Linked DNA regions of Ovis aries. The protein of the gene in region 3 purifies or fractionates together with the protein of the main gene of each other region. This does not show direct contact. Links are inferred from orthologs where the notes say so. Each region holds a gene or a part of one and is shown on either strand. Other genes may lie near its edges. The genes, in order: DTNB, UTRN and TNS2.

What was found.
Region 1: the proteins of TNS2 (region 3) and DTNB purify together in Homo sapiens (affinity purification with mass spectrometry; 3 studies listed by BioGRID and IntAct, with this or other methods). This does not show direct contact. The link is inferred for Ovis aries from reciprocal best matches to the Homo sapiens genes TNS2 and DTNB.
Region 2: the proteins of TNS2 (region 3) and UTRN purify together in Homo sapiens (affinity purification with mass spectrometry; 4 studies listed by BioGRID and IntAct, with this or other methods). This does not show direct contact. The link is inferred for Ovis aries from reciprocal best matches to the Homo sapiens genes TNS2 and UTRN.

What each region holds. Positions count from the first base shown.
Region 1 is NC_056056.1:33,029,720-33,033,467, reverse strand, and holds the start of DTNB (dystrobrevin beta), read left to right. Parts: upstream 1-1,247; 5' UTR 1,248-1,420; intron 1,421-3,748.
Region 2 is NC_056061.1:68,902,377-68,906,124, forward strand, and holds the start of UTRN (utrophin), read left to right. Parts: upstream 1-926; 5' UTR 927-948; coding exon 949-1,042; intron 1,043-3,748.
Region 3 is NC_056056.1:133,377,927-133,381,241, reverse strand, and holds the end of TNS2 (tensin-2), read left to right. Parts: intron 1-233; coding exon 234-359; intron 360-544; coding exon 545-637; intron 638-762; coding exon 763-840; intron 841-1,001; coding exon 1,002-1,079; intron 1,080-1,487; coding exon 1,488-1,656; intron 1,657-1,752; coding exon 1,753-1,821; intron 1,822-1,927; coding exon 1,928-1,957; intron 1,958-2,099; coding exon 2,100-2,238; 3' UTR 2,239-2,747; downstream 2,748-3,315. UniProt on the Homo sapiens protein: Tyrosine-protein phosphatase which regulates cell motility, proliferation and muscle-response to insulin. Phosphatase activity is mediated by binding to phosphatidylinositol-3,4,5-triphosphate (PtdIns(3,4,5)P3) via the SH2 domain.

The DNA.
Region 1 (3,748 bases), about 100 Mb from region 3:
GCAGGAGGAAAAGGATGCTCTAAAGACAGGCAGGCAGACCACAGCAGAAGGTGGCACAATCTGCTTTACTATAAGGTGCCAAAAAGCGTGAAAAACCAGACTCAAAGCACAGGGCTGTCTTAGCTTACGGATTTACATCCGCCACCAACATATCAAAAGTCCTTAAAGGACACTGCTGTTTTCAGCCTTAAATGATGTTGACAAGAATGATCCTATGCGGAGGGAGGTAGAGAGGGAGGTTCAAGAGGGAGGGAACAAATGTATACCTATGGCTGATTCATGTTAATGTTTGGCAGAAACCAACACAATTCTGTAAAGCAATTATCCTTCAATTAAAAAAAATAAATTAAGAAAAGAATGATCTTTTGAGTGCTTAAAAAAAAAAGCTTTGCTGTTCCCCATGTAGCATCATCTGTTTCACGTAGTTTGGAAAGGATTCTATCAAAAACGGATATTCAAAAAAAGCCGATGCAGAGATGGTACACCTCCGTCGCTCTCTGTTCCTTTGCCCAAGCTGTTTACCTAAATTTTGATGTCCCTCCCTTTTTTCCGTCCTAGGACTCCTCTCTATCTTCCTTGCAGGCTGAACACAGATGCCGCCTCTTCCAGGAACCTCTCCGCATCGTCCAGGCGGAAGTAATCTCTTCCTCCTCTGAGCTCCCACAGCATCTCATAGTGGCTCTGGCTTTGCATGGGTCACCAGACCTGGTTGTTTACACGGCTGCTTTTCCACTAAGTTATGCGCTCCTGGAGACCGGGGACCGTGACCGTGACGGTGTACCCACACAGCACCTGGTACAGCGTTACAGAGCTAGGCACCGAGTCGGTGCTCAGTAAACAGTTTGCTGAGTTGAACTAATTTGGAAATACCACTCAGGGCAGTGACTCCTGCTCCAGGCGCGGATGATGAATGATTTATGGGGGTGGTTCTTCGCATTCTTTACCTTGTAGTCACGTCGGGCCGAACATCCAGGTGGCGGGGTACATACCTGTGGAGTTGAAACGCACCTCCGCCGCCCGCCGCCGGCTCTCGGGAAAAGCCCGCAGGGGGCAAGTTTCCCCCGCCCTCCCGGAACCGGGCCGCAGGGGGCGGGGTTCGAAGGGAACCCGGCCCGCCGGCCCGCCCCCTCCTCGGCGCGGCGGAAGCCCCGCCCCCAGCCGCGCGCTCGCGCAGGCGGCGCGTGCCCGCCCCCAGCCCTGCGCCCTCGCGCCCTCGCGCCCTCGCACCGGGGGCGGGCTCGCTGCGCGTGCCGGGAGGGTAAGCGGCGCGAGCCGGGTGCCTGAGAACGTTCGCCGCGGGGGCGGCTCCGAGGCCTGAGCGGGCGCTGCCACCGCCACAACCGCGGGGGCCGGGCCGGAGGAGGCGGAGGAGGTTGCAGCCGCCGGAGTCCTTCTCGACGCCCCCAGATCCGGCCGGGAAGTGAGTACGGCGAGGGTTTGCGGCCGCTGCCCCAGGCTGCGGGAGAGGAGCGCGGTGCCGGAGCCTCGCGCCCGCAAGGAGCGGGAAGGCACCCGCGCAGCGCCCGCACCCCGGCAGCCTGCGGGGGTTTGCAGGGCCGGGAGCGGCGGAGACGGCCCCCCGGGATCCGGGGCCGCTGCACCGCGCGCGCTGTGAACGGAGACCGCTCCGCGCTCCCGGCCCTGGAGGGGCGAGCGGAGAGGATGGAGCGGACTCCGCGGCCGGCGTTGCCGGCCTCTGAGCCCTGGGTCGGGTAGGGGGCTCCGGTGTTCCGATCGCGCTTTGGCTGGCGGACATGGAGCCGGGGTGCGGGCGCAGGGTGATGCTGCCCGAGCCCGGCTTGGTGGAAGGAGGCTCTGCATTAGGTGTTGAAGGGGGCGAAGGAGGCAGGTCCTGGCAGAGGGCAGGTGAGTCAGGCAGGCCCTGGCAGAGGGAAGGGAATTTATTTCAGATCATCCCCAAACACTATTTCCCGAGGCGCCTAACTGTGACCCTGTGCACCGAGGTCACCCTTTTAAGGAAAGTGTCCTGAGAGGAGGAAGGATGCAACTAACGAATGCTTGCTGTTAAATTCCTGTGCCAGGCCTTGGGATTAGGAAGACCTTCCAGCAGCCTCAGCAGACAGTTTGTTGGTTAACTACCTTGGGTAGAGAACCGTAGTCAGCACTGGGGTCACAATTGTGTAAAGCACAACCATCATTTGCTACTTAGGTGCTGGCAGTTTGGTTGTAAAGGTTTGCGTAAGAAATACAAAGCAGCTTTGAATTTTGTCTCTTTCACTTTGTCTTCTTCCCAGTAGTATTGGGAAATTGGAGCCATAAAATTGCTTGGTTTGAGGATTAAAGCAGGAGGGTCAAGGAAGCTTGTGGGAGGTATTTGGGAGAGTTTTATAGACACTTCTGTGTAACATTTAAAGAGAGAGAAGGAAAAAAGGAAATTGGAAAGAGGAAGTTCCCTTTCTTCCCAAGCAGCAGGCACTGAAAACTGCATGAATGAATGGACCAAGCAAGGTTTTGCTCTATTTTATGTGAAGCACTGTTGATCAGTGTGATGTTAGGGATGCTGATGGACTTCCCTTGTGCCTTAAGTTTCCTCTCTCTTTTTTGCCCTGTAAGAGGTTCTTAGGTTTGGGCTAAGCAAGTGGCTAAGGTGATGGAGTTGTATCTTGTGGCTGTGCTGCCACCTTCGCTACTTTATTCTGTGTTGACTGCCAGGGTCTTACTCCTAGGGTCATTGCTTCAAATCATCCCATCCTGGCCTTTCTCTCTGCTGTCACTTGAGGAAGGGGAAAATGTCTGTCTAGAGAGCATGCTTTCATTTTTATCTTGGCTCTTGCATCTTAGATCTGTGGTCAGCGAATGTGACTCTGATCTTACCCATGAGGGCTGGGACTCTGCGTTTTTTCCTGCCTTCATTGAATTTCTGGACTCTCAAGCTCCAGGCTGCTGTTTCAGTTGCCTGGGTTGCAGTGCCTGTTGGGTTACTTTGTCTGCCAAACTAAAACTTGACCTTTTATGAGTTCTGGGAGGATTTTTATCATACATCAGTGGAATTACCTTTGAAGGCAGTTGTGTAGTCAGCGTAGTGTTGGCAGGAGTTTTGAGTGTCCACTATGACTGAGAGAGAAAATTTCTACTTAGGAAGTCAGATTTAAAACCAATGGAATTGGTTTAAAGCACTTACTTTATATCTTTAAATCTCTCAGGACCTATGTTTCCTTGTATAAAAATAAAATATTAATTCAAATTTGGCCTTGTGTGGTGAGCCTTGAAGAACTAAGTCAATTTCTCTTTAGTTTTAGGGCGGTAACACTTAATTAAGAGTGCATCCATCAGGTGTCTACTAGTTCTTATTTTGGGGTACCTCAGTGCTGTACTTTAGTATGCCTTGTTCTCCATTTTCTCAGTAATATTGTGTTTTATTTATTTATATACTTAGTTTACATTTAGAAGTAGAAGTGTTTGTCTCTCAGTCATGTCTGACTCTTTGCAACCCCATGGACTGTAGCCTGCCAGGCTCCTCTGTCCATGGAATTCTCCAGGCAAGATTACTGGAGTGGGTTGCCATTTATTTCTAAATCACCTTTATTGATGTTTGCACAGATGTCCTGTGCAGAGCTGGTGGAGTTTGAAAAATGTATATACAGATCTTCCTCAGCTTCTGATGGGGTTATGTCTGATAAACCCACTGTAAATTGAAAGTACAGTAGGTTAAAAATGCATTTAATACACCCCATCTACCAAACATCATAGCTTAAGCTAGCCTACCTTAAACATGCTCAGAACACTT
Region 2 (3,748 bases), on a different chromosome or scaffold from region 3:
TGAAGCAGGAGAGAAAAAAAAGAGTTAAACAGGAATAAAAAGCCCATGAGGCAGTATGGGTCATGGTTTTCCTTGCTGTTGAATGTGTGTGGATGACATCTGTATGTTGCTGTTGTTGCGTTGCTAAGTCGTGTCCAGCTCTTTTGCAACCCCATGGACTGTAGCCCATCAGGCTCCTCTGTCCATGGGATTTTCTGGGCAAGAATACTAGAGTGGGCTGCCATTTTCTTCTCCCTGGGATCTTCCCGACCCTGGGATTGAACTTGTGACTCCAGCATTGATTCTTTATCACTGAGGCACCTGACATCTGTGTTCCGTGATAATAAAAGAGCAAGGCAAATACACAAGATAGAACAGGCTGGAAAATATGAGTCAAAACTGTTACCTCTGATCTTATGATTCTGTGTGGTTGAATGTATTTTTTTCCATAATAGCAATCTCTAAGGAATTAAGAAATTCTTTTGAGTTCCATTTTTCCCAAGGTGTATATGCATATTGAAGTGAAATAACAAGTTCAATTTATGCTTTGAAGTAGAGTTAATATATAACCAAACTCTTCAGTCCAGTTGTATACCCAGGGCAAACACCTCTATTTATATACATGTGGGTAAGGAGGTGGGTGGAGGTGTCCTTATCAGCTGACGCTGTCAAAAACAGGAAGCAAAGTTACAATCTCTTTGTAGTGGATCAGAAACATTCAAAGGCCCTGCGTTGTGACAATTAAAAGAACAGTGACAGAAAATGACCTAAGGAATTTTCACTAACTGCGAAGTGTAACATCCTGTCTGGTATTTAGAAGAGATTCAGCTAGGTTTTAGTCAGATCCTCTCATGGGAAAAATAAAAGCCACGGCGAAACAGGACATCCCAGTGTGCAGTTCGCAGGCTGCTTCTGTTAAAATCCACTTCCTCTGCATCTTTTTCCTCGTCACTTAAGCAAATGTAGGTGATGAGCGGCCCGGCGGCCACTGCGTTTCGTTGGAAAAAGTACAGATTTGATGTGCCAGGACACGTAGCTCGCCAGTCTGGCAAGCATTTACCAGGTAAGTTTGTCAGCTTGCCTGCCTGACTCCCTGCCCTCCCTCCGCTGAGGTTTTGAAAAGAGGATGTCAGCCAAGACGGGGCTCTCTCAGTCACTTACTGAACCCAGTGTGTTAAGTAACAGAGCTGCTGGAGGCAGGACCAAGTTGGGGATGGGAACACCCCGGCATGTTCTTCCTGATGTCGCATCTGTTGTAGAGTCTGAGGAGTCGAGACCAGCATTGTGGGGTTTCATCTTTTCTTCAGAATGCGATGATTTTCCAGTTCTTGGCTTCTTGGAAAAAAGTACATAAGGAGCCATATATTTGTTGTGACAACATGTTTCATATATTTTCAAACTAGCTTATTTCTGTCCTATAGAGAAAGTTTCCTTTGCGCTGTTGCGTAGGGATAGTGTACTATTGTACTTGATTTACTGTGCTGACTAAAAATGTATTTTACTTTTAAAAGTGGTTCAGAGCTGATTAAGGGGAGAATCAGACGTACTTTTGGGCAGATTGTAAATGGAGGGGTTTTGTGTTTAGGCAGTCTTGTGCAGAAGAACTCAGACTCGGAACTTCATGTTAGATGTGGTCATGCACTTTTCTGTTGCTGGAGTTTACTTCCAGGGGGACCTAGATTTTTTGATTAGTTCTGATGTCCATATAGATCAAAGAAACTTGATGGGAAAAAAAATAAAAAACTCAAGTGATGTGTAATACTTGACCTTACATATCATGCTTGAATGTTGTTAGTATGGAACAACTTTTAGACTGGTCAGAATTTTTAAAAAATGGTTTTCTTTCTTTTGGAATTACTCTTTCCCTCTTAAGTTTTCCTCCCTAACTCCATGTGAATGTGGTGGTAAATGCTGGTAGGCATCCTCTCCCTGGAATGAATTCTCAACTAGAATGATTGGAGCAGCCCATGTTTTCTTAGCAAATTTGGCTTCTTGGCCAAGTGTAATAAGAGATCAGCATGGTATAATTCACTTTGTTGGCTGTTACTTTTCTCTCTTATTTAAAGAACCGTGTGGTCTCAACAGAAAATTAAAATATCTGTCAGAAACCTGAATTAAAACCTCAGGTACAAGAGCAGCATTGAAAGGCTACAAATATATATCTTGACTTTCACTTAATTCTCTTCCTTTTCCCAGCGTGAATAATCTTCATTGTCTGCTAGTCTGTGCAGTAATGTCTTGCTACCAAGGGTCTCAGAAATAGGAAGATAATTAGAAGTAAAAAATTCAAATAAACTTTTAAATAATAAGCAAACTTTTATACGGGTAGACTTCAGCTTTAAACATGAATTCTCATTCATTCATACAGCATTATTTCCTACTCTGTGGTCAGTCCAAAGGCTTTAGGAAAGTAAAAAGCATTTTTAAAAAAAATACATTTTAGGGCACATTATTTTAATAAAAATAGAAGATTAGTGTGTATATGATTTGCAAGGACCTAGATTCTTTTCTTATTGGCTGTTATTAATTTACTATTTTCTTATATCTACAGGATAGCTCTCTTTAGTGATCTTGTAAATAAAGGTATAAAAAAGTACATGTTTATGGGTGGCACATTCCATTGCAATATGTGGCTATTTTTGATCTTCAAGCAGTCTCCATAATAGATTAAACTTTGGGGTGAATCCTTTATATACAGACCTCAAGTAAGGTGGAAAGAGTGAAACCATAAGTGTTTTGCATTAAACTGTTGATGTTACTGGGGTTGAGGTTTCACATGACTTCTGCAGAACCTAAAGGGAGTAATAAAACAAGTAATAAAATGGAATAAATTGAAATATATATTTGTTGAAAATAAGCCTTTCAGTGTTATTTTTGAAACTGCCCATCCTTTTGCCCTGTGTTATCTTCTAAAATGTGCAACTCTAATTTAGTGCATTTGCTTCTCAGTAAGTTGAAATCTGATTATCTGTATCACTCTCTCTCTGGTATAGAATCATTACATTTTAAAATATTTAAAATATTTCTTTGCCTTTTCTTAATCTTGATGTCTGTGTACAAATGCCCAAATGTTAACAAATAATCTAATTGAAGGAGAATAAGTTTTTAAAAAAAGGCTTGAAGGTGTGAAATAAAAACTTACTCGGAGTTGCAGGCATCTACCAACGCACAGATGATTTAGGTCTGCCCAGGAAGCCACTTCTGGGAGGCCTCGCTTTTCTTGCCATCCTTCCTGCCTTCTCTTCAGGCTGACAGAACTCTGAGTCAGTCATTTTGAATGGGTTCACATATTCTCAACCTTGGCTGCACGTTAGAATCACCAGCGTGCTGGAGCCCCACGCCGGGGATCTTGGTATAATTAGACTGAGGCCCTGACTGTAACTGTTCAAAAGCTGCCCAAGTGATTCTGATGGGGATTCAAGATGGAAGCATATGGGGGAAGTGTATGGGTCCTTGTTAGACTGAAAGCTCCAGAAGAAGGACAGGAAGGAAGCTTATGCTTTCCTTCTGCACTCAGCCCATGCCTGTTGGCAGGGGAGTCTCAGGTTCCGCTTGAGGAATGGGTGGGTGAACAGATTCCTCTAAGCTGGAGGAGGCTACAGGAGGATCAGACCTCCTGCTTTCTGGTTTGAGCTGATGGAGAAGAGTGTTACAAGAGACTATGGTCTGTCTGAAGATGGCTGTCATTGGGAAGAAGCTCTTGGAAGAGCTCGCTGGGGAATAGGCCAGCTCGGGGTGCACTGAACAGACCGCTCTGAAGAGACAGAGG
Region 3 (3,315 bases):
CACTTCATCAGTGGGCCTCCTCTGGGCCGAGCCTCTTTCTAGCAGATGATTCTGGGTTTTAGGCCCGAGGAGGTCTCACCTGCTCAGTGCCCAGTGCACTGACTCCCCAGTGGCATCCTGGGTGCTGACACCACAGCTGTCAGGGCCAGAGGTCTGGGGGGCTCGGGCAGCAGAGCGGAGGGGCTGCCTGGGGCTTGGTCTGCCCCTGTGAAAGCTTCTCCTGCCTCCCCCAGCCATCACCCTGCTGAAGGACAAAGACCCTGGGGCCTTCCTGATCAGGGACAGTCATTCATTCCAAGGAGCCTATGGGCTGGCTCTCAAGGTGGCCACGCCCCCTCCCAGCGCCCAGTCCTGGAAAGGTACAGAGTGGCCCAGCCTGAGGGGGAGGGGATGGGGTGAGGGAGGCACAGAGGCAAGACCAGGCAGGGTGGCCCGTGTCACTTCATAGTAGGGAGGAGGAGGAGATGAGCTCTCCTGCTTGGTAGAGAATTCCAGCAGAGAAGTAGAACCTGGAATCTTCTCCCCTCCTCTCCACTCCTGTCAGGGGACCCCTCGGAACAGCTGGTCCGCCATTTTCTCATTGAGACTGGGCCCAAAGGGGTGAAGATCAAGGGCTGTCCCAGCGAGCCCTACTTTGGTGAGAAGCAGGGGTGGGGAAGGCTGCACTTGGCATTGCAGGGAGGCCAAGAGGTGTCAGGAGGGAGGTGGAGGACTGGAGGTGTCTCTGGGCACCTCAGGAGCCCGCTCGCCTTTCCCCTGCAGGCAGCCTGTCAGCCCTGGTCTCCCAGCACTCCATCTCCCCACTGTCCCTGCCCTGCTGCCTGCGCATTCCCAGCAAAGGTGGGTGTCTGGGCATCTGTCCTCCCCCTTCTCCCCTCCCACTGTGGCCAAAGGCACAATCTCCGGTCCTGGCTCCCTGCCTGCCTGCCTTCCCTTGGGACGGCAGAGGGTACCCTCAGCTCCTGGGACTGCCACTCCCTGCTGACCCCCATTTCCCTCAGATCCTCTGGAGGAGGTCCCAGAGGCCCCAGTGCCCAGCAACATGAGTACAGCGGCAGACCTCCTGCGTCAAGGCGCCGGTACGGGCCTCTCCCTCCTTCCCTTCCCCGCGCACCAGATAGGACACCCCTGACACATGGGGAACAGAAAGGCCTTGTGTGTGGGCCAGCCCTGGCAGATGCACCTCACCCAGGAAGGCAGGGGAGGCCTGTCCCCATAGACATGATGGGATGGGGAGACCTGTCTAGGCTGCAGGGGTGCGGTCTTGTTAGAATGCAGATTCTCCAGCCTCTTTCCAGCATCTCTGACTAAAGACCTCGCGCAGTCACCTGCCTTTTTAACAGGCTACCTGTGTGACGGATGCATTTTGAGCAGCACTAGCTGGGGAAAATGCGAGAGCTGGGCGGGTGGAACACGGAGGGGAGATGGAACTGGGGTTGGCAGAGCCACTGCTCCCTGCTCCCTTCAACCCACTCCTCACCGTGCAGCCTGCAGCGTGCTCTACCTGACCTCAGTGGAGACGGAGTCGCTGACAGGCCCCCAAGCAGTGGCACGGGCCAGCTCCGCAGCTCTGAGCTGCAGCCCTCGCCCTGCGCCAGCCGTCGTCCACTTCAAGGTCTCAGCCCAGGGCATCACACTCACAGACAATCAAAGGAAGTGAGTATGTGTGCCGGGTAAGCCCCTGGGGGACCCCAGGCACAGACCCCGGGAGCCCCGATTTCTGGGTGACTTTCCCCACCCTCATCCTTCCAGGCTCTTCTTTCGCCGCCATTATCCAGTGAACAGCATCACCTTCTCCAGCACTGATCCTCAGGACCGGAGGTGACCCTCCCTCCCAGCCCTTTCATCCCACAGTCCCCACAGCCCAGCTTCTCCACTGGTAGCTCTTCCCTGGGTGCATCCCTTCACAGTTCTTCTCCTTCCGCAGATGGACCAACTCCGACGGGACCACCTCCAAGTAAGCCTCTGCCAGGGTGCCATCTCCCCTCCCAGCGCGGCATCAGCATGGTGTCCAGGCGCCTGCTTGCTCCCCATCCCTGGCATGGCCATCCCTGAGGAAGGGGTGCTCATCGCTCCCCACCCTGCCTTTGTGCCCCCAGGATCTTTGGTTTCGTGGCCAAGAAGCCGGGAAGCCCTTGGGAGAATGTGTGCCACCTCTTCGCAGAGCTTGACCCAGATCAGCCTGCAGGCGCCATTGTCACCTTCATCACCAAAGTTCTACTGGGCCAGAGGAAATGAAGGAAGGCCACAAGCTCCAAGCCCACGTCGACACTGTGCCCCTCTCAGCACCACACAGCCCTCACTTCCCCTGGCCTGGACCCAGGAGACCCAGGAGCCGGCCTCTCCCCTAGGAATGGGGAGCGGACACAACGGCCTGGGACGCTGCTCTCCTTCCCCGCCCCCAGCCTGCTAAGCGAAGTGGATGGGCCCATGAGATGACCTTGCATGTGAGCAGAGGGCAGAGACGGTGTGTGAGGGTGAGGTGGTGGAGCCTGGAGGGGGTTATCTGGACAGCCCCACCTGCAGGAGAGCATCTGCGCTGGAGGGGGAGACAGGCCTTGCCTGCTCTACCAGCTGCAGGTCCCAGCACGGCAGGGAGAGGGGAGAGGTGTGGGGAGCAAGGCACTCCCTCCTTTACCTCCCCTCTGAGCAGAGAGATCAGAGTAGGATCACATGAAAAGGGGGGGAAAGAAAAAAAAAATAAGAGTCTATTTTTGTCTAATAATAAAGAGTTTCTATAATGTTTAGTTAGAGTTAGACTCATGCCTGTTTCCAGGAAGGACAAAGCCTCGGGTCTCCCGGGACCACACCTGTGTTTCTTAGGGCACCCCAGGCCCAAGCCATGCCTGTGGTACACACATGATCCCTCTCCCTGGCCCCACAGCCCTTCGCCACTCCCTCCTCCAGCCCAGTCCCCGGCTCGTGTACTGGGAAGGATTCCCCTGTCCCGGCTGTACTGATAAATATGGAAACTCCATCTTTATTGGCTGTATAAACATCTCTGGTCTGTACATACATTTCATACATCATAGTGCAGGGCCTGAAGGGAGGGCCAAAGTGGAGGCCCCCGCAGTACAACAGCTCACTGCTTCCCCTAAAGCCCTGCCCACTCTCCCCAAACCAAGGCCAACGGCTCCTGCTCCCTCTCCCTCCCGGAAGCCACAGTGTGGGCAGGAGTCAGGGTCAAGAGGCTAGGAGACTGGAGGGCTTGGTGGGGGAGGACACGTGTAAGTGCTAGATCAAACACTGAAGCAAAACAGGCAACTGGCACAGGCAGCAAGCAGGGTGCGGGTGGGGCAGCGGAGCATGGGCTCT